Ovis aries: one gene and its partners. The protein of the gene in region 1 interacts with the protein of each later gene in a biochemical or structural test. Links are inferred from orthologs where the notes say so. Each region holds a gene or a part of one and is shown in the gene's direction. Other genes may lie near its edges.

The links. The genes of interacting proteins can lie anywhere in the genome.
Region 2: the proteins of complement factor H-like (region 1) and PTX3 form a complex in vitro, tested with the Homo sapiens proteins (3 studies listed by IntAct, with this or other methods). The link is inferred for Ovis aries from reciprocal best matches to the Homo sapiens genes CFH and PTX3.
Region 3: the proteins of complement factor H-like (region 1) and CRP form a complex in vitro, tested with the Homo sapiens proteins (12 studies listed by BioGRID and IntAct, with this or other methods). The link is inferred for Ovis aries from reciprocal best matches to the Homo sapiens genes CFH and CRP.

The regions. Positions count from the first base shown.
Region 1 is NC_056065.1:5,715,667-5,721,961, reverse strand, and holds the start of complement factor H-like, read left to right. Parts: upstream 1-2,312; 5' UTR 2,313-2,383; coding exon 2,384-2,441; intron 2,442-6,295. UniProt on the Homo sapiens protein: Glycoprotein that plays an essential role in maintaining a well-balanced immune response by modulating complement activation.
Region 2 is NC_056054.1:230,869,500-230,875,779, reverse strand, and holds the start of PTX3 (pentraxin-related protein PTX3), read left to right. Parts: upstream 1-2,676; 5' UTR 2,677-2,767; coding exon 2,768-2,897; intron 2,898-3,304; coding exon 3,305-3,709; intron 3,710-6,280.
Region 3 is NC_056054.1:110,719,631-110,726,013, reverse strand, and holds the start of CRP (C-reactive protein), read left to right. Parts: upstream 1-2,779; 5' UTR 2,780-2,884; coding exon 2,885-2,948; intron 2,949-3,185; coding exon 3,186-3,796; 3' UTR 3,797-6,383. UniProt on the Homo sapiens protein: Displays several functions associated with host defense: it promotes agglutination, bacterial capsular swelling, phagocytosis and complement fixation through its calcium-dependent binding to phosphorylcholine.

The DNA.
Region 1 (6,295 bases):
AAGACATGTTTAACCTGTCTATTCTAAATATGCAACATGATGAGTCTCACAAAATATATATAGTTTTGTCGTGACAGGCTGTGTCCAACTCTTGTGATCCCATGGAGGGTAGCCTGCCAAGCTTCTCTGTCCATGGTATTTCCCAGGCAAGAATAGTGGAGTAAGTTTCCATTTTCTTTCCAATACATCTATACAATTACTCTATAATCAAGATGTAGAATATTTTCATCATCCCAAATGTTCCTTCATGCCTTTTGAAGTCTCTCCATGTTCCATAACTACACTATTTCTTTTTGGAGTGGAGGTTTGTGTTCAATGAGAAATGAACGTTTGAAGAAAAACAATAACTTTTTTAAAAAATATAAATTTATTTATTTTAATTGGAGGTTAATTACTTTACAATATTGTATTGATTTTGCCATACATCAACATGAATCTGCCACAGGTAACTTTATCTTTTTCTTTTTTTCAACATTCTTTTATTGATAAACATTTAAACAATCTGTAGTTTTCTTTATGAAAACATAAGTTGTATGGAAATTTTAGCTTATGGAAATGTCCACAACTATTTTTATAGAAGGTATACATAAAAAAAGAAACATTCAAATGTTGAAAGTGAAAATAGCACCCCATTCACAAATTTGTTTAATTTTTCATATAGGATTTCATATTATTCAGTAGAATCTAGTATGACCAATACCCCAAATTCTTGTGTTTGGGGATAAAAACTCAAGGCTCTTTCAAGTCCTTTTGATTTGAGACATAAGGTGTGTCCTCTGGATTGGATTTTGACTTTTAACTTTACATTTTATTCTGAAAATGGTAATTTTTAAGGCAACGTTAAACATAGAAATAGCTAAACACCTAAAGTTAATCTTAACGTGATTGATAATTTTTTTAACACACATGTATGCCTGTGTAACTACTACCCAGGACTAAATTGAGTAAATGTCCAACACAACCTCAGGTTTCCTTGTGTCTCATCCCATTCTGTACCACACGTTACACCACCTTCATGATGAGGTTTTCAACCTTTCGAAAGCCTACCAATGAAATTATAAGATATGTACTTAGTGAGTGTGTTTGATTTTTTTCCATTTACAAGAGCTGTGAGATTATCCCAAACCACTCTCTATCATTTTCTAAATTAGTGCGTATTAATCAGTCATATGAAAATGCTACAAATGTTTTATCCATTTTCTCAATGTTCATGGGAACAATTGCATTTTTGCCATTTATGAATAAAGCTGCAATGAACAATTCTGTATGTGTCTTTTTAAGGGATGCACTCCAGATCCTCTGGTGAGGGAGAGGTTAAGGGGAGAAACTTCCAGGTGCAAGATAGATGAGTCATAAACATGAAATATTCAGTGCGGAGCATTTAGTCAATAATTATGCAATTTTTAAAATCTTGCTAGATTGTAACTAGACTTACTGTGGCAATTATTTTGAAATGGACAGAAACATGGAATCACTACACTATGTAACAGAAAGTAACAGAATGTTGTAGGCCAACTGTACTTAAAAGAACAAACAAATACTTTGAAAAATAAATCTCATTTGTGATTACCATAGGCTAGGCCTGGAGATAGGGGAACTGGATGAAGCCAGTCAAAAGGTACCAACTTCCTGCTGTGAGATAGATTAGTACTAAGAATGTAGTGTACAACATGATTAATATGACTAATTCTGCTGTATCTTAAGTATGAAAGTTAATAGGATGGTAAGTCCTGAGTTCTCATCACAAATTCTTTTTTCTTTACTTTTATATCTGTATGAGATGATGGCTATTCACAAACCTTATTGTTGCAATCATTTCAGGATATATGTAAATTACATCATTAGGCCATACACCTGAAACTTATGCGGTGCTTTATGTCAATTACATGCTAACAACATTAGGAAGTTGATCATCATAGAACCCATACATAAATAGCACGCAAGTGAAGGGATTGTGCTATAATTTATATGACTGTTTTTAAGCTCTACTATAATTTTTTTTTAATTTATTCACTTTCCCCAGTCCATGAAAATATGGATGACCCAAATGGCTGGTAAAAACTTCACCTACTGTCTTGAAATATATTATTGAAAGTTAGTATCTGATATATGGCTTTGGAGCTAGTCCATATCAGCCACAGAAAGTTGTGCACATAGATATCAGGTGGTGAATACAATGACTTATTGGGAAACTACCAACAGAAACAAGGTAGGGACATTTCAAAACTTTGAACTTTGATATTTACTAAATGGCACTAATTAACCAACTTCATTGTAACGCATAAATTCAGTCACACTAGGTAACTGCAAATGAAGCAGATTTTTGAACCCTAAACAGTGCAACTGGAGTATTTGTGTGAATGTACCATTGGGAAAATCTAACATGTTGTTGTTAATCAATGTCCTTCTCACCTTGTGGTTTTACACTGTTCATGGACAGGGTAAGTTGAAACCGATGTGAACACTCAGCCTTCCTTCTAAATATAACTATCTACTTTCCTTTGTGTGTATTTTTGATTGAATAAACTGGTTAAAATAGTCTGCACTGTGAGATAACCATAAGAATACCTTAATGGAAAAATGATCAGACATTCACCTAAAAGGGGAAAACAAAATGAATACTTTTCTATGTCATCTGAGTTCCACAGTGCAAAAAGGTACTCTATGTAGATTATGGGGTCATGTGAATATGCTCATGAAAATGTGAATAGAAAATGTGTCACAGGAAAGTAGATTATAATTCCAGAATGTTTAGGAGAGTCGTACTTGTAATATGAGAAAGCTCTGGAGAACAATGGTTATTTTTATACTTTTACATATGGTGATTTTTGCAGGTTCAAATCTCATTTTAAATATATTCAGTTGACTGTATTGTGATTATAGCTTAATAAATCTATTAAAGGTCATTAACATCACTGTTAGTTTTTAAAAACCAGCGTAGGTACAAGATATATTTTCCTTTTACAAAATGTGAAAGACAGTCTTAATTTCCAGTGTAGTGCCAATATATTTAGAATTCTTTTCAGAGAGAAATGTAAATGTTGACAACCTTAAAAAAATTGTCACTTTTATTTTTAAACTTACCAGTTGTTTTCATTAGTTATCTATTTTTTACACTCTCCCAATTCATCCCTCTACTCTTGGGCCCCCTTGTATCTATACATCCATTCTCTATGCCTGTATCTCTATTTTTGCTTTGCAATAAGTTCATCCGTAGCATTTTTTAGATTCCATTTATAAACAATATTATACAATATTTATTTTTCTCTTTCTGACTTGCTTCACTCTATGTGGCAGTCTCTGGGTCTATCCATGTCTCTGCAAATTGTGCAATTTCATCGCATTTTATGGCTGAGTAATATTTCACTGTGTATATGTACCACTTCTTCTGCATCTGTTCTTCTGTTGATGGACATTTAGGTTGATTCCATGTCCTGGCAGGTGTGGATAAAATAGATAACTAAGGAGAACTTACTGTGTATCATAGGCAGCTCCACTCAATGCTCTCTGGTGACCTAAATGGGAAAGAAATCCAAGAAAAGGGGATATATATATATATATATATATGTGTGTGTGTGTGTGTGTGTGTGTATTTTCATATAACAGATTCAGATTCACTTTGATGTACAGCAGAAGCTAACCCAATATTTAAAAGCAACTCCAATACAAATGAAAAGCAAAAATCAGCTTATATACATGTATTAATATAGGTAATTAAATCATATTAAAAACCAAGATTTTACTCCAAAATATAAAACTTATATGTTCTTCATTATGATGTTTTTGTCTTTCATTTTCTTTAATAATCCATTTGTCTTCAAGTTTTTATAAATGAAAACTCTAATGAGTTTTAAGATCCCACATGAAATTCAAGATGTGAATAGAATATGCATCATTCTGCATTATTCATCTCATAATTTGTCGCATGCTATTTTAGTCCATTTGGTAATTTTCTTCGTGAACAACATTTGCAACATAATAAAGCTCCCTGTCTAGTCCTTAGTGTTACAATTAAAAGCAGCTCTGGCCCCAGATCACTTATAAGAAAGGCTGTATCACCATTATTCTTGCTGAGGAACAGGCAGACATGAATTGTTTCTCCTGATTCTCAGGTACATGAGTGATGGTTTATTAATCAGCTAGAATAAGATTACTGGAGAAGGCAATGGCACCCCACTCCAGTACCCTTGCCTGGAAAATCCCATGGGCAGATGAGCCTGGTAGGCTGCAGTCCATGGGATCGCTAAGAGTCGGACATGACTGAGCAACTTCACTTTCACTTTGCACTTTCATGCATTGGAGAAGGAAATGGCAACCCACTCCAGTGTTCTTGGCCTGGAGAATCCCAGGGATGGGGGAGCCTGGTGGGCTGCCGTCTATGGGGTCGCACAGAGTCGAACATGACTGAAGCGACTTAGCAGCAGCAGCAGCAGCAGAATAAGACTACAGGCATATTTCCAAACAAGAGGAGAAAGAGTACACAATATGAAAGAGAAATGTGAAACTTTGACAAATCTTCACCAGATATTCCAGTGCAACCCTTCTCTTCTCATTAACAACTGAACTCTTTCCAAAAGTGGTCTTAAAGCTAAATGTTTGAATATTTAAGCAAAGTTTTTCTTCCATAATTTATGGGTGCACTTATGAAATTTTTAGCATGCAAAATAATTGTAATATCAGATTCAAGCCATTAAGTAAAACTCACATCAACTAACACCTATTGTAGATAGATACCTGCATGCCTGCGTGCTAAGTCGCTTCAGTCATGTCTGACTCTTTGCCTCCCCATCGGCTGTAGCCCACCAGGCTTCTCTGTCCATGGGATTTTCCAGGCAACAATACTGGAGTGGGTTGCCATGCCTGCCTCCACGGGATCATCCAAACCCAAGGATCAAACCTGCCTGTACTATGTCTCCTGCATTGGCAGGCGGGGCCCTTGTTTACCACTAGCACCAAGTGGGATGCCCATTATATTAGATACATAGTCCTAATTAACAAATGTTCCAGAAAACACATTGGCTTAAGACAATACACCTCCATATTCGTACAGCTCCTGTGGGTCAAGAATAAAGAAAGGGCTTCGCTGGCTAGTTATGTATTACTCTGTTTGGGAGGCAACTGGGTAATGGCCTGGGCCGCTGTTACCTGGACATTGAGCTGGGCTGGAGGCTTTGCTTCCAAATTGGCTCACTCTCTTGGCTTTTGGGGGAGGCCTCAGCACCTGACCTCGTGGTCATCTGCGCAGGTTGCTTGAGAGATATCTAGCTTTCCTCAGGGCCAGTGACAGCAGACAGGGAGGAGGAAGCCTCCACAGCAGGTATGAGTTTGTCACACTGTCACGTCAGTCATGTGCAATCATGAGAAATGGTCACTAAGTCCTGCACACTCAGTAGAGAGGACTTAGGCTCTAATATTTGGAGAGAGGAGTGTGGAAGGTGTTGTGGACTTTCCTAAAACCATCACATACAGAAAAATGTCAGGTCAACTGAACAGAGTCTTTTCTGGGGATGCTTCCTTTACTTCTCAACTTCTTTCCTGCCTGTTTTGTAACAATACTCTTTTTTCCAACAGTACCTCGTAAAATTTTGGCAAACTTAAACAAGTTATTACAGGAAAGAAAACTGTAACTTTAGAAAACATGTCAGTGACCTTAATAGCAATTGCAAGCATAAATCTAAAATGATTTTTCGAACCACAATTTCTTTTAAAATGAGAGTGTTAACAGTATTAAACAGATTTCAATCCACATAAGAATTATACTAAAGATATTTAAACTTGTTTAAGATGGATTTATGAAAATGGTGCTGTGTGCTTAGTCCCTCAATCTTGTCCAACTGTTTGCAACCCTTTGGACTATAGCCCTCCAGGCTCCTCTGTCCATGGAATTCTCCAGGCAAGATTACTGGAGTGGGTTGCCACTTCCTTCTGCAAGGGAATATGATTGACCCAGGGATCAAATCTGCATCTCCCTTGTTTTCTGCATTACAGGTAGATTCCTTACCCACTGAGCCATAGGGAAAGCCTATGAAAATGGCAGATCAACCCAAATGTATTTACATCACAGCAAAGTTATCCCACAAGGGACCTTGTAAAGTTCATGGAGACAAGATGAGGAAATTGGCCAGTTAAATAGCTTATCAGATATTCATAATTTCATTAAATAAGCTGATTATCAGATGCAGGATTTTGTTCTCAGGCCTGCTCCATTGCTGTTTTGTATCAACAACCAGTTTAATGGAGCAAAGGAGATGTGCCTGGAATGATCCTGAGGTACTGAAAGTGAACCCACATTAGG
Region 2 (6,280 bases), on another chromosome or scaffold:
AGGTATCTTCTTGGCAAATTATTTATTTCATCATAATTTCATTACTCTCTTTGCCTTAAAGTCTATTTTTGACTAATATTAATACAGCTATGCTAGCTTTTCTGAATAGCCCTTGTTTGGTATATTCTCTCACCACCTTTAAATTTTTTGCTTTCAGGGTTTCTAGATTCTTGTGTTTGATGTGTGATCTTATAAGTGACACAGAACTGGACTTAAAATATATTCCTATCTGACAACTCTTGTCTCTTAACTGGAATGTTTGTTTCATTAATATTTAGTGATTAGTATTTACAGTATTAGGTATATTTATAGTATTAGGTATTAGGTATAGTATAGGTACTACCTAATTAGTATTAGGTATATTTATAGTATTAGGTATTAGGTATATTAGGTATAGTATTAAGTATTTATAGTATTAGGTATATTAGTATTTACAGTATTAGGTATATTCATAGTATTAGGTATATTTTACATTACAGGTGCTTTTTGGAGAAAGAAATGGCAACCTACTCCAGTATTCCTGCCTGGAGAATTCCATGGGCAGAGAAGCCTGGTGCGCTACAGTCCGTGGGGTTGCAAGAGTCTGACGTGACTTAGCAACTAAACCACTGCCACATGTGCTTTCTTTTTATCTTGCTTTGTCTATCCTTTTCTTCCCTTCTTTACTACTTCCTATTAAACAGCTCGTTTTTTTTTTTTTTTTAATTCACTCTATTCCTTCTATTTGGTCATTTTATTTCCTCTTGGTTTTGGTGGCTGTCATTTGAAAGATAAACATACTTGAACTAACAAAGAAAAATTAACTTTGCTATCCGGAACAATGAAAGGACATTAGAATTATTTTCTTAGATCTTTCTTCCAGTTCCTTAATATTCTTTTCAGCTTTGCCAATCCTTTAATTTCTTAAAAATTTCAATTAATTTTTTAACTCAAGGTTATATTTGAGTCTTTAAATAATAGGCCTATTTTTCTTCTTTTGACAGTGTCTTTTTCATTTTTCAGGTTTCCAGTTCTTTCAAACACACTTATTTTCCAGTTTCTAGCTGATATTTTAAATAAATGAAATTCTTGAGGGAGGGGTGTCCAATCCCTTTTGGTTTCTGCTGGTTCTCATTTATGGTAGATTGTTTAATCCTATGTTTAAATATTTTTTATTATGAATTTTCACTGTGGCAGATAGTACACATTTGCTTCTCGAACATGTATAAGGGCAGGCCCAAAGTCGCAAACTCTTAGGGACCTTGTAGAGTTCAGTCAAAGAGAGACAGGCTTACTTCTCTCTTTTCTGTGCTAGGGTAAGGACTGGGGCTATATCTATTGAAATCTAGTCAGTTAACTCCCCACCCAGACCTAAGCCTTGTGGCCCTTAACACTTGGTTAACACAGAACTGAAACATCTCTTCCCCCTTCACCTCCCCTGATGTGTGTGCGTGCGCGTGTGTGTGTGTGTGTGTGTGTGTGTGTGTGTGTGTGTAGGGGGGCTCTAGATTCAGCTCATGGGCTCACTGACCAGTTTTTGGTTCCCTCTCTTTGGGTAGGTGGCATTAGTGGTAAAGAACCCACCTGCCGATGAAAGAGACATAAGAGATGTGGGTTCAATCCCTGGGTCAGGAAGATCTCTTGGAGAAGGGCATGGCAACTCACTCCAGTATTCTTGCCTGGGAAATTCAATGGACAGAGGAGACTAGCGGGGCTGCAGTCCATAGGGTCACAAAGAGTTGGACATGACTGAAGCGACTTATCACCCTTGGCCTCTGGATATTGTCCTTACTTTATTGGGAACTTATTTGTATATTTAAAGTTTTTAATTATTATTCAAATGTAAACACATTTCTAGTTTGGTTTTTTTTTTTTCAGCTTATATAGATCTCCATATACTGACAGAAGCGGGAATCCCTAAATTTACTTTAAAAACATGATCTTTGACTCTGAGCCTAGTGAAATAAGATACCCACATAATAGATTATGAAAAGAAACACACCTAAAAAGTCAGTTTATTCCTTTCCCCCGACTTCTCCTTATTTTCGGTTTACTGGTTTTGCTGTGCTTCTCATTAAAAAGTATGTTTATAAAAGTATAGTTGTAACTCCAGAAGGATTAAAGATGGAATGACTTGAAATGGATTTGGATTATAGAACCGTACAAATTCTTACTGTGTTGGTTTATCTTGAAATCAGAAAGTAACTTTCACATCTTAGACCTGTAAAACTGTACAAAGAAAAAGTGAAAAAATGTTTTCTATGTGTAAAGGGTTGTGAAATAATGAGAGCGCACACAAAATGCTGGGATGATGCTCTTGTTTTCACACCTCTATGCCTGCTGAATCTATTCCCCTAAATCTCTATTCCCCTAATCCCTCTCCTCTCCCTCTCATCCTTCAGTACTACCAATTCAAGTTACAACAGCTAATCCCCAGGGGGAAACAGTCCTAGCCTTGTCTTCCCCTTTCTTTCCCCTCTGACACTCCTCCAATTAATCTGACTGTACTGTAAACCTTTGCGGTTTACTATTGTGCAACGTCCCCCGTCCCCCACATCTCCTTCACCCTCCTTTCCCCCAGCCCCCTCCCCCACAAATCTGGGGAAATCCCGTTAAGGCAGTGCCACTGGCATTACTCATTCATCCCCATTCAGACTTTCCCCAGCATTTATTAAGGGCCCTCAGCTCCTGCCTCTCACTCGCACTCTCCTCCGCTCCTCCTGCACTCTGAGAGCCTCTTGCCTCGTCCCCTCCCGACAGCGGTGGGAAGAACGTCGTCTCTCCAGCAATGCACATCTCTGTGATTCTGTTTTGTGCTCTCTGGTCTGCAGTGTCGGCGGAGAACTCAGATGATTATGAGCTCATGTATGTGAATTTGGACAACGAAATAGACGATGGACTCCATCCCACCGAGGACCGTAAGTTCGTTTTAACTCTTTCTCTGCTAACCCTTAACTACATATCTACCTCCTTAGGTCTAAGTATTATACATATATTCTGTTGCCAATGCAATAAACAACAATAACCAAAAAAGAGTTTTGCCAAAGAGAAAAGCACGTCAGGAAAGGAGGTTTCATAAAGTTACTTCTCTCAGATACGTAATGGGCCGAACTGTATGAAATCGCCGGTATTCGCCTGTTCTGAGAGAATTGCCATGAACGGCAATTTCATCGAGTTCGGCTTATAAAACTTGCAAGGTTTCCTTAAAGGGAAGGGGGTCCTGGGGACGGGCTGTCACTTGGCGACCATCGAGGGAGGTCGGCATTTTACAAAGAACACCCGAGGGAGGGTCAGGTCTGTAATGCGTGTATATTCCCCACTCTAGCCACGCCGTGCGACTGCAGTCGTGAGAACTCCGAGTGGGACAAGCTCTTCACCATGCTGGAGAACTCGCAGATGCGGGAGGGCATGCTGCTGCACGCCACCGAAGCCGTGCTCCAGGGAGAGCTGCAGAAGCTGAGGGCCGAGCTGGGCCGGCTGGCGGGCAGCCTGCAGAGCCTGTGCGCGCCGGAGGCCCCCGCCGAAGCCAGGCTGGCCCGGGCGCTGGACGAGCTGCTGCAGGCGAGCCGCAATGCTGGCCGCCGGCTGGCACGACTGGAAGAGGCCTGGGCGCCGCGGCCGCAGGAGGAGGCGGGGCGGGCCCTGGGCGCGGTGCTGGAGGAGCTGCGGCGGACGCGGGCCGACCTCCGAGCTGTGCAGGGCTGGGCAGTCAGCCGCTGGCTGCCGGCAGGTAAGGACGCGGGGACTGGTGGGGACCCCTGCGCGGCTTCGTTCTCAAAGTGCGAGTTGCGGGAAACCGAGTCAGCCAACCAAGCCTCTAAGGGCAGGCTTTAGTGTGAGGAAACATACCGGCTCACACCCTTCTGTTTCGGCATGCGCGGTCACAGAGCTCAGATACATCATAAAAGGAGGGAAAATTGCTTTCAAAAGTAGTCAGTCTTCAGTCCCGAGGAACCCTGAAGATAGCTGTGTAGGTAACCATCACAGTATTGAAATAGACCTCAAGGGCCTCCAGACTGACACTTGATCGGACCAGGCGTTAGAGAAACTCTATTGGCGAGTTATAAGAGTGACTGCTCTCAATGTCCAGCTTCCCTCCGTTAGGGATTTCCACTTCTTCTAATATTAGCCTGCCTCTCTCTTTAAGGGAGCTCTGGTTCCCCGCGCTATTTCAGGACCCAGCCTAATTTTTAGGAAAGTTTTCCAGTCCCTGGCTGGCCCCTTCTCCCTACCAGTTCTAAACAAGAGACTTGAGGTTGAATCTGATCTCCCAAGGGCCCCTGCCCCGAGCCCCCTGGGTCTGTGAAATAAGCTCCAGAGTGAGCTCCAAGAGTGTGAAGTTTGGAATAAACCAGCAGCTGAGGGATCCACAGTGGGACAGTCAGATGTAGGAGGTAGTTGGCATCCAGGCAGTTCCTCCGGAGTTGTGGAGGATCAGGGTGAAACAGAAGAGAAGCAGTTCAAACCAGATGCAACCTGTCCAAGTCCCATGTGATACTAGTGAACTTCCAAACATATGTGGGCCTGAAACAATACATTTTAAAGATGCCTCAAGGAAATATAGAGAAGGTTTGGAGCGAAGAACACTCCTTTACAAAAAGTCAGACTTTCTAAGAAATGGTGCTATAACAATCATTTGTGGGTTATATTAGAAAATCCGTGTTCTAGGTAAGAAAATATAACATACACTTTTCCCTGTTCATAAGCAACTTATGAACAAAAAACAATTACACCCTTCGTTATGTCCAATAAAGCAACTCTTACTATATGGGGTAGGAGGCAGAATCAAGCATATGTGAGAGCATATTTCATTTAAAATTTCAGATTTATACCAAAATACCAGTCTTTCCTAAATAATTGAGAACTGTTTATCAGTACAAACCATGTTTTTTAAAGAAGGGCTTCAGAGGGGGGAAAATCATAAAATAAACATACCATAGATCCTTAGTGTAAGTGACAGGACAAACTATAATTCTCTGGCAGTTTTAATGGATGAAATTTCTTGTCTTTTGCAAATCACGTAAAATCACTGTACATATCATGTACTGGGAAAACTGAAGAGTTATGCTAACTTTCACCTCCACCTCTGCATACCAGTTAGAGCAGAAGAAGGATGTATTTCTGAATTCAAAAGTGTTAATTCTCTTTTTTAAATTTTATTTTATTTATTTTTTGTTAATTCTTATTACATCCATTCATACATTTACCCACATGCTTTGATTTTTCCTCTCTTGGTTTCCTGCCAGCTTGGCTCCTAAGGGATTCCTAATCATTCTGTTGTCAGCCTCTTAAGAACCTGGTTTTAATTCTGTTTGGTCTTTGATAATATAATCAGAAAAAAACCTATTAGTTAAAAGCCATTTCATGAGAGAGTTTCTGACATTTTAAAGCCATATCAAGGGTCTCAATCACCGACCCCCAAAAGAAGCCACAGAAAAAACTTGCCAACATGCAGTTCTACTCATTGAACCTACATAACCAGCGCAGCCCAGAGGGGAAGCTGGGTCTCTGAGAGGCAATCAAGGAAGGCTTTGGAATGTAATCCTGACTGACTGGGCTTATTAAACAGGAAATCAGTTAATTAGATTGCAGTAGGCGCTCTCTCTGAACACTGTTTTACTGAAACATTAGACAGTATCTAAAATGCCCAAGCATATGGTGATCTTTTGTTCCATGATCTTTGTTTGATTTAAATGACAGGTAGAAGAGTATGCATCTACCAATTTCATTTTCAAAAAGAATCAATGCCTCATTAAAAATTGATTTAAAAAAATCTTTAGAAATTCAAATTATTCAGGGAAAAAGTTAATACCAAAGTATGGCAGGACCAATTTTGTGCTTTAGTGTGATGGTTACTTTTATAGGATTTTCTGAACCTCAATATCTTCTTTGACTATTTCAAAAGGATAAGGTCCATGTGCTTAATTTTTCTGGGTTGGAGCCCACCTCTCAGCCACTTGTAGATGGTTAACTTAGTCTATCACACTACACATGGACATTTGGTTCCTGCAAGTCTTGTTTACCACTTAGTCTTCAAATGCTCTGGGAATTTGCTTTTTAAAGCTATCTTATGGTAAATCTTCTTTAAAGGTTGTTATAAAGTGAATACTTAGCCCTAATTTTTGCTGTTGTTTAGTCACTAAGTCATGTCCAACTCTTTTGCGACCCCATGGACTGTAGACCACCAGGCTTCTCTTTGAGATTTCCCAGGCAAGAATATACTGGACTGGGTTGCCATTTCCTTCTCCAAGCCCTAACAGATTTTTTAAAAATTCTTTAATTGGTCTTATATATGTATATA
Region 3 (6,383 bases), on another chromosome or scaffold:
TGATTCACTAAAATGGACTATCATGCACAGAGAGGTTCAAGAAATTTTTTTGGAGTTTGTGAATGAAGCAATAGAAAATGAAGTTTGTGGTGACCATTGCTCGTATTATTTTCTTAGTCTTAAAACCTTTGCTTCCCTACCTGTGTCTCAGCTTATATGCTGCCCCTTCCATAAAAAACCTATACTTTTCTGGGGTGGGAGGGGGATTCCTGGGGCAAGGATGCTAAATGGATATTTCATTTTAGGGCAAGTAGTAATCAGTTTGGACACACAATTGTCGGGGAGATTTCTATTTGTGAAAACTCTTTGAAATGTCAATATTACACAACCAACTAAAATAAGTAAAAAGAGGGTATATTGGCTAATAGACTTCACTTCAGAGGACCTGAGGTGAAACTAGTAAGACTAGATTGAGAGACTCAAGCAATGTCCTTGAAGGCTCTGCCATCTCTTAGTTCCACCTGGGAGTCAAGGATGGAGAGAGGGGAAAGGGAGGACCACTTCTGTTAGGCAGAGAACTTTAAAACCATTTCACTTAAAAAAAAATCTATGTGCCAGTATTCAAGCATTCTGGCACATAGCTGTTGTCAGTTGTTGATGAGAAGTCAAGCCAGAAATCAATGATTAAGTTTAACAAGGAAGAGATTTTTGCTTACGTTCGTTTTGCTGAAGTGGTGGAGGCCAAAGTCTTGTTTGCATGGATTGAGGAGAAAACAGGAGATGGGGAAACAGAGATTGTCAGTACACAAAACCCTTTCCAGGAGTTTTCCAGTAAATGAGAGCAGAAATGATGAACAGTAGCTGAAGAAGTGTGGAATCTTGGGATGCCTGACATGTGGGATCCTTCCTCCCTTCTTTTCTCCTTTCTGTAAAAGATTAAATATATTACAGCATGTTTGTCTGGTTTGGGGAATGATTGAGTAAAGATGAAGAAATTAATGATGCAAAAGATAGGATACTGATGGAAGCAAAACTCTGAGTGATTAAGAGGGTCTGGGATCCTTTGCAGAAGTATAAAGGTTGCCCTTAGATATAGACAGACAGTTCATCCTTTGTCATAAGAGGGAGGCAGTATATGTAAGTAAAGATTCAGAAAGGCTGGTAGATTTGGAGATGGGAGGATGTGTAAAGATATCAGTTTGGATTTTATAGCAGGAAGACCACATTAATAGTTTTGATTTAACAAAAGACAGTATGTCTCCTTCAAGGAAATGTTGGGATGTTGGGGTAGTTAGTCTAGAGCTGATGCAGTGATTCCATAGTCAATTATCCAGGCTCCATCTATCTGCAACCTCAAATGTGCATCTCACCTATGGTGGTCGAGAAGTGATACTCTAGCTCCTATTATTATGTCTGAATACTAGATAGAAGGCAGAGGGTAAGTGGAAAGGAAGAGCACAAGAGAAGTCTTTAAAGGGGGCAACCTGGAAAATGTCCTTATTCCTTCTGTTCACATGTCATTGGCCAGAATGTAATCACATTCTCACTCCTAACTGCAGAGGAGGCTGGGAAGTTTAGTATTTGAGTAGGTGACCGTGTGCTCAACCAACCTGTTCTTACTGGATGAGAAGTGGAGAATGGGTATCGTGCAGCTGCCAGAAGCCTCTGCTACAAGAAATACAGTGGCTTTCTTCTAATTTCTCAGTAAAGAGCTGTGATTGCTGCACATAAGAATGGATGAGATTCTGGGGGTTTGAAGAGAGAGGAGGAGCTAAATAGCCATTTGAAGACTGGATTAAATAAAGACCCATAGTAAGACTGGCTTCCCAGCCAATGCAGGAGATACAAGGGGTGTGGGTTTGATCCCTGGGTCAGGAAGATCCCTTGAAGAAGGAAATAGCAACCCACTCCAGTATTCTTGCCTGGAAAATCCCATGGACAGAGGAGTCCATAGAGATTTTCTATGGACTTCCCTGGTGGCTCAGATGGTAAAGTGTCTGCCTACCATGCGGGAGACCTGGGTTGGATCCCTGGGTCAGGAAGATCCTCTGGAGAAAGAAATGGCAATCCACTCCAGTACTCTTGCCTGGAAAATCCCATGGATGGAAGAGCCAGGTAGGCTACAGTCCATGGGGTCGCAAAGAGTTGGACATGACTGAGCAACTTCACCTTCACCTTCATGCATCCATAGGACTGTGGGATGCAGTCTATAGAGTAGCAAAGAGTCGGACACAACTGAAGGACTGGGTGCATCATCTTGATTCCTCCCTGAATCTTGACATGAAGAAACTCTGACATATGGTACGTTTGTGATCAGGCACATGTTTCACTGGACCAGAGATTTCCTTGCAATGAAACTCAGCTGACAAAGAAAAAATTGTCCTTGGCTCTGTGGATGACATGTTTGTTTTTGGTATTACCCAATTTGTGAACTGGAGGCATCTGAAAAGGGTTGGCAATGATGTTCATCTCCAGAAGCTATCCTCCATGAAACACCAAGACTCGGGCTGAAGTGGGTGCTAGAGATGCACTATGATATGTTCTCAGATGGCCATGCTTCTATTAAGATTTTTTAAATTATTTTCTCAAGATAAATACCCAAGTGGAACTCTCAGAGAGCTTCTTCATTTTTCCTGTCACAAAGAATTGGTGATCTCATAGTCACAGGAGCTTGTAATAAATAACCAACATTGATTTCTCTGTTCCAGAATTATTTTGCTTCCCTTATTTCCAGAGCCCTGACACTTGCTGAGAAAGCTAGTATTGGAAAATCATTTACGTGGTGGCACAGACTCCCCCACTGCCTTGGATATAAATCCATGCAGGATGGAGCAGGTCTAGAGGCAAAGAATCTAGGACTTCTGGTTGCTGAGCTTTCAGCCAAAGACATCTTCTCCAGAAGGGTGAATCCAGATGCTAGAAGTATTGGAGGCATAGACTGACCATGGAGAGGCTGTTGTGGTGCTTCCTGGCCTTGGTCGGCTTCTCTAGTGTTTTGGGCCAGACAGGTAGGGGCTACTCCAGGATGTGCCAAGTATTTGATTTGAGTGATAGGAGTGGGGCCTAAGATTATACAAGGTGAAGTCAGAGGGACATCCAGCATGGGTGAGTGTGTGTATGTCTGTGTGTGTGTATGACACTGAGGAAAAATCAGTCTATTTCTCAATCCCAAACTCTATTTATGCAGGAATAGATCTTTGTGATCTGAGAAACTTCTCACCTCTCCTCTGCTTTCTGTCTCACAGACTTGCATAAGAAGGCCTTCGTGTTTCCCAAAGAGACGGAGAATTCCTACGTATCTCTGAAAACACAGTTAGAGACCCCACTCAAAGCCTTCACCGTGTGTCTCTATTTCTACACAGAGCTGGCCCGAACCCGCAGCTACAGCATTTTCTCTTATGCCACCAGGCAGCAACCTAACGAGATCCTCATATTTTGGTCTAAGGGTAGAGGCTATACTTTTGGAGTACATGGGAAGGAGGTATCATTCCAGAGTTTCGAAAATACTCAAGCTCCAACACACATCTGTGCCAGCTGGGAGTCCACCTCCGGAATTGCAGAGCTCTGGGTGAATGGGAAACCCCGGGTGAGGAAGAGTCTGGAGAAGGGAGCCTCTCTGGGGAAAGACGCCAGCATCATCCTGGGGCAGGAGCAGGATGCGTTCGCTGGGGGCTTTGATAGAAACCAGTGTTTGGTGGGAGACATTGGAGATGTGAACATGTGGGACTTTGTGCTGTCGCCGGAAGAGATTAACACTGTCTATATTGGTGGGAACCTCAGTCCTAATGTCCTTAACTGGAAGGCGCTGAACTATGAAGCAAAGGGTGAGGTGTTCATTAAGCCTCAGCTGTGGTAGTGAGGTTGGGCTGTGGTCCTGGAAGTGCTTCCTGGCAATTCCACCCTATGGCTCTGGACCTCCCCACCCCTGTACACACCGCTGCAGGCCTGCTCTGTGAACACAGGCTTTTGCTTCCCTGCTCTACCTTCCTTAACACCAGATGGAATTTTTAAGTATCTGGCTTGGGAGATTGGAAAGCTTTGCCCACAAGGTCAGGATTGCAGATGCTTTGGGATTTCCTGTTTTTTTTTTTTTTTTTAAATTGATTATCTTAGATTATTTTAGAGATAATCCCTTACCCTCACTTAGATAAGAAGATTAGGACCCAGCAAGGAGAAGTGATTTTTTTTTTTTTAAGTCAAAAGGTGAATCTTTGGGCTGAGTAGGGAGTGCTGGTCTCATATCTAATTTCCTACTAAGAACCCCCCAGAAAGTAGGAGAGTCTTCCTCATCTTCACAGGGCTCTTCAGTGTCAGAGTTCTGACACTGGCCCAGGTCTTCTGAAATGGGAAACCTAGTGATGCAAAGTACCCTGGAAGGGCAATCAGAAAGGCCCAATACAGAAAACCTATATTTTTTCATGGGCAAAGTGGAGGCATCTAGTTAGTTACTTTAATTGTTATTGCCAAGCGTTTACATAGCCATGTTTTTGTTTGCTCACAGTGATTTCTTCATTTTGTGGTTCTTTTGGGGAACTCTTCTCAAACACCATCTGAACCACATGGGACGGTGCATCCCCACCTGTTTCCCCAACATAGCCAGGCCACAGAGTGGGTGTGACTCACACTGAACTATCAGAGTAGCCAAAACTTGTTTGGAGATTTAGGATGGCGGGATGGTTACATGCTCCTAGCTGGACACATTATAGTCTTTCCCAGGACTGATTTATGAACTCTGGGAGTGAGACATCTTTCTGCTGGAATTCCCATCTGAGAGGGTATTAGCCTGAGACTGTCAGCAGCCATCTTGTCTACCACATGGAGAAAGACTGTGAGGAAAGAGGCCAAGCTGTGGTCAGCAGAGCTGAGGAATTGACAGAGCAGTGGAGCCTTGACTGGACTGTTTGAATTTCTGGATCTGCTTTGCCTGGAACCAGATCTACACCTGAACCTCTCATGTTCATGAACCAGTAAAGCCCCTGTTTATATTAGTGAACCTGAGCTGTTATCTGATGGTTGTATTTCAAGTGGTGACTAACTTTTCTAACAATCTTCTGAAACCAAGTCCCTGTGAGTTCAGATGAACCATTACCTGTCTTGCAGTGACATAGCTAATGGCTCTCCAACCTCCCATAGGGATTTTTTTCTGTCGAGCGCAACCCCTCTTTTGTGATAGCTGGTAATTTGTGTGAGGCCAGTTGTGGGGGTGTAAAACTCTCACTCTAGAGAGTAAGAGGTATAAACTATTTTGTATAAAATAAGCTACAAGAATATATTGTACAACATGAGGAATATAGCTGATATTTTATAGTAGCTATAAATGGAGTATAACCTCTAGACATTGTAAGTCATTATATTGTACACCTGTAGCATATAATATAGTACTGCAACTATACTTCAGTTAAAAAAACTCACTGTGTTATTACTCCAATATGAGGAACAAAAACTAAAGCTCATTGACATCCAAGAATCTGCTGTCAGTTTCAATGGCTGGAATGCACTTTCCAAGCTGCTTAAGTCCCTTGTAGAGAAAGACCCCCCAAGGGTGATGGCTGCTGGTTTCTTCCAAAGGTGTCCTTCACCTTGGCTTTTTAGTACTAAGTGAGCTGTTGAAATTACCCCACAGAAGTCACACTAAAGTATGAACTAGCCCTGTGACTATGTATCAAATAGCTACTTTGGGGAAGGCATACAGTAGACTAGTTAAACATAAAGTTTCTGGAATCACCCTGCCTAGGTTTAAATCCTGGCTTTACAACTTACTATGTGACTTTTTGTCTTGGTTTTCTTGTCTATAAAGTGAGGAGAAATAATAGTAATTAGCTCAAAGAGCTGTTGAAAGGATCAAGTGAGATCATGCGTATAGAGCACTTTAGGGTAGTGCCTGGCACATAGTAAACTCTCAGGATAGTTATCTGCTATTATTATTATTGAAGAGAAGGGGATGACAGAGGATGAGATGGCTGGATGGCATCACCAACTCAATCGACATGAGTTTGAGCAAGCTCTGGAAGTTGGTGATGGACAGAAAAGCCTGGCCTGCTGAGTCCATGGGGCACAAAGAGTTGGATATGACTGAGCGACTGAACTGAACTTTGTATGCTGTCCGCAATCAAAGGTGGATTATATACCATTGAAACACAATTTGGTGGAATTAGTCTGGGTTGATTGCAGTTGAAAGGTCTGAATCTTAACCAAAAATTAAACTCAGAATATTAGAATGATAAATTTATGAGTGTTGATTTATGAACATTGATTCCCCTAATTGACTTTTGGTAACCATTTGAAAGCATAGAAGTTAAGGGTAAGGACTTGCCTGGCGGTCCAGTGGTTAAGACTCTGCACTTCCAATGTAGGGGTCTCAGCTTTGATCCCTGGTTGGGGAACTGAGATCCCACATGCTGCACAACATAGACAAATAAATAAATTTTAAAAATGTGGAAAAA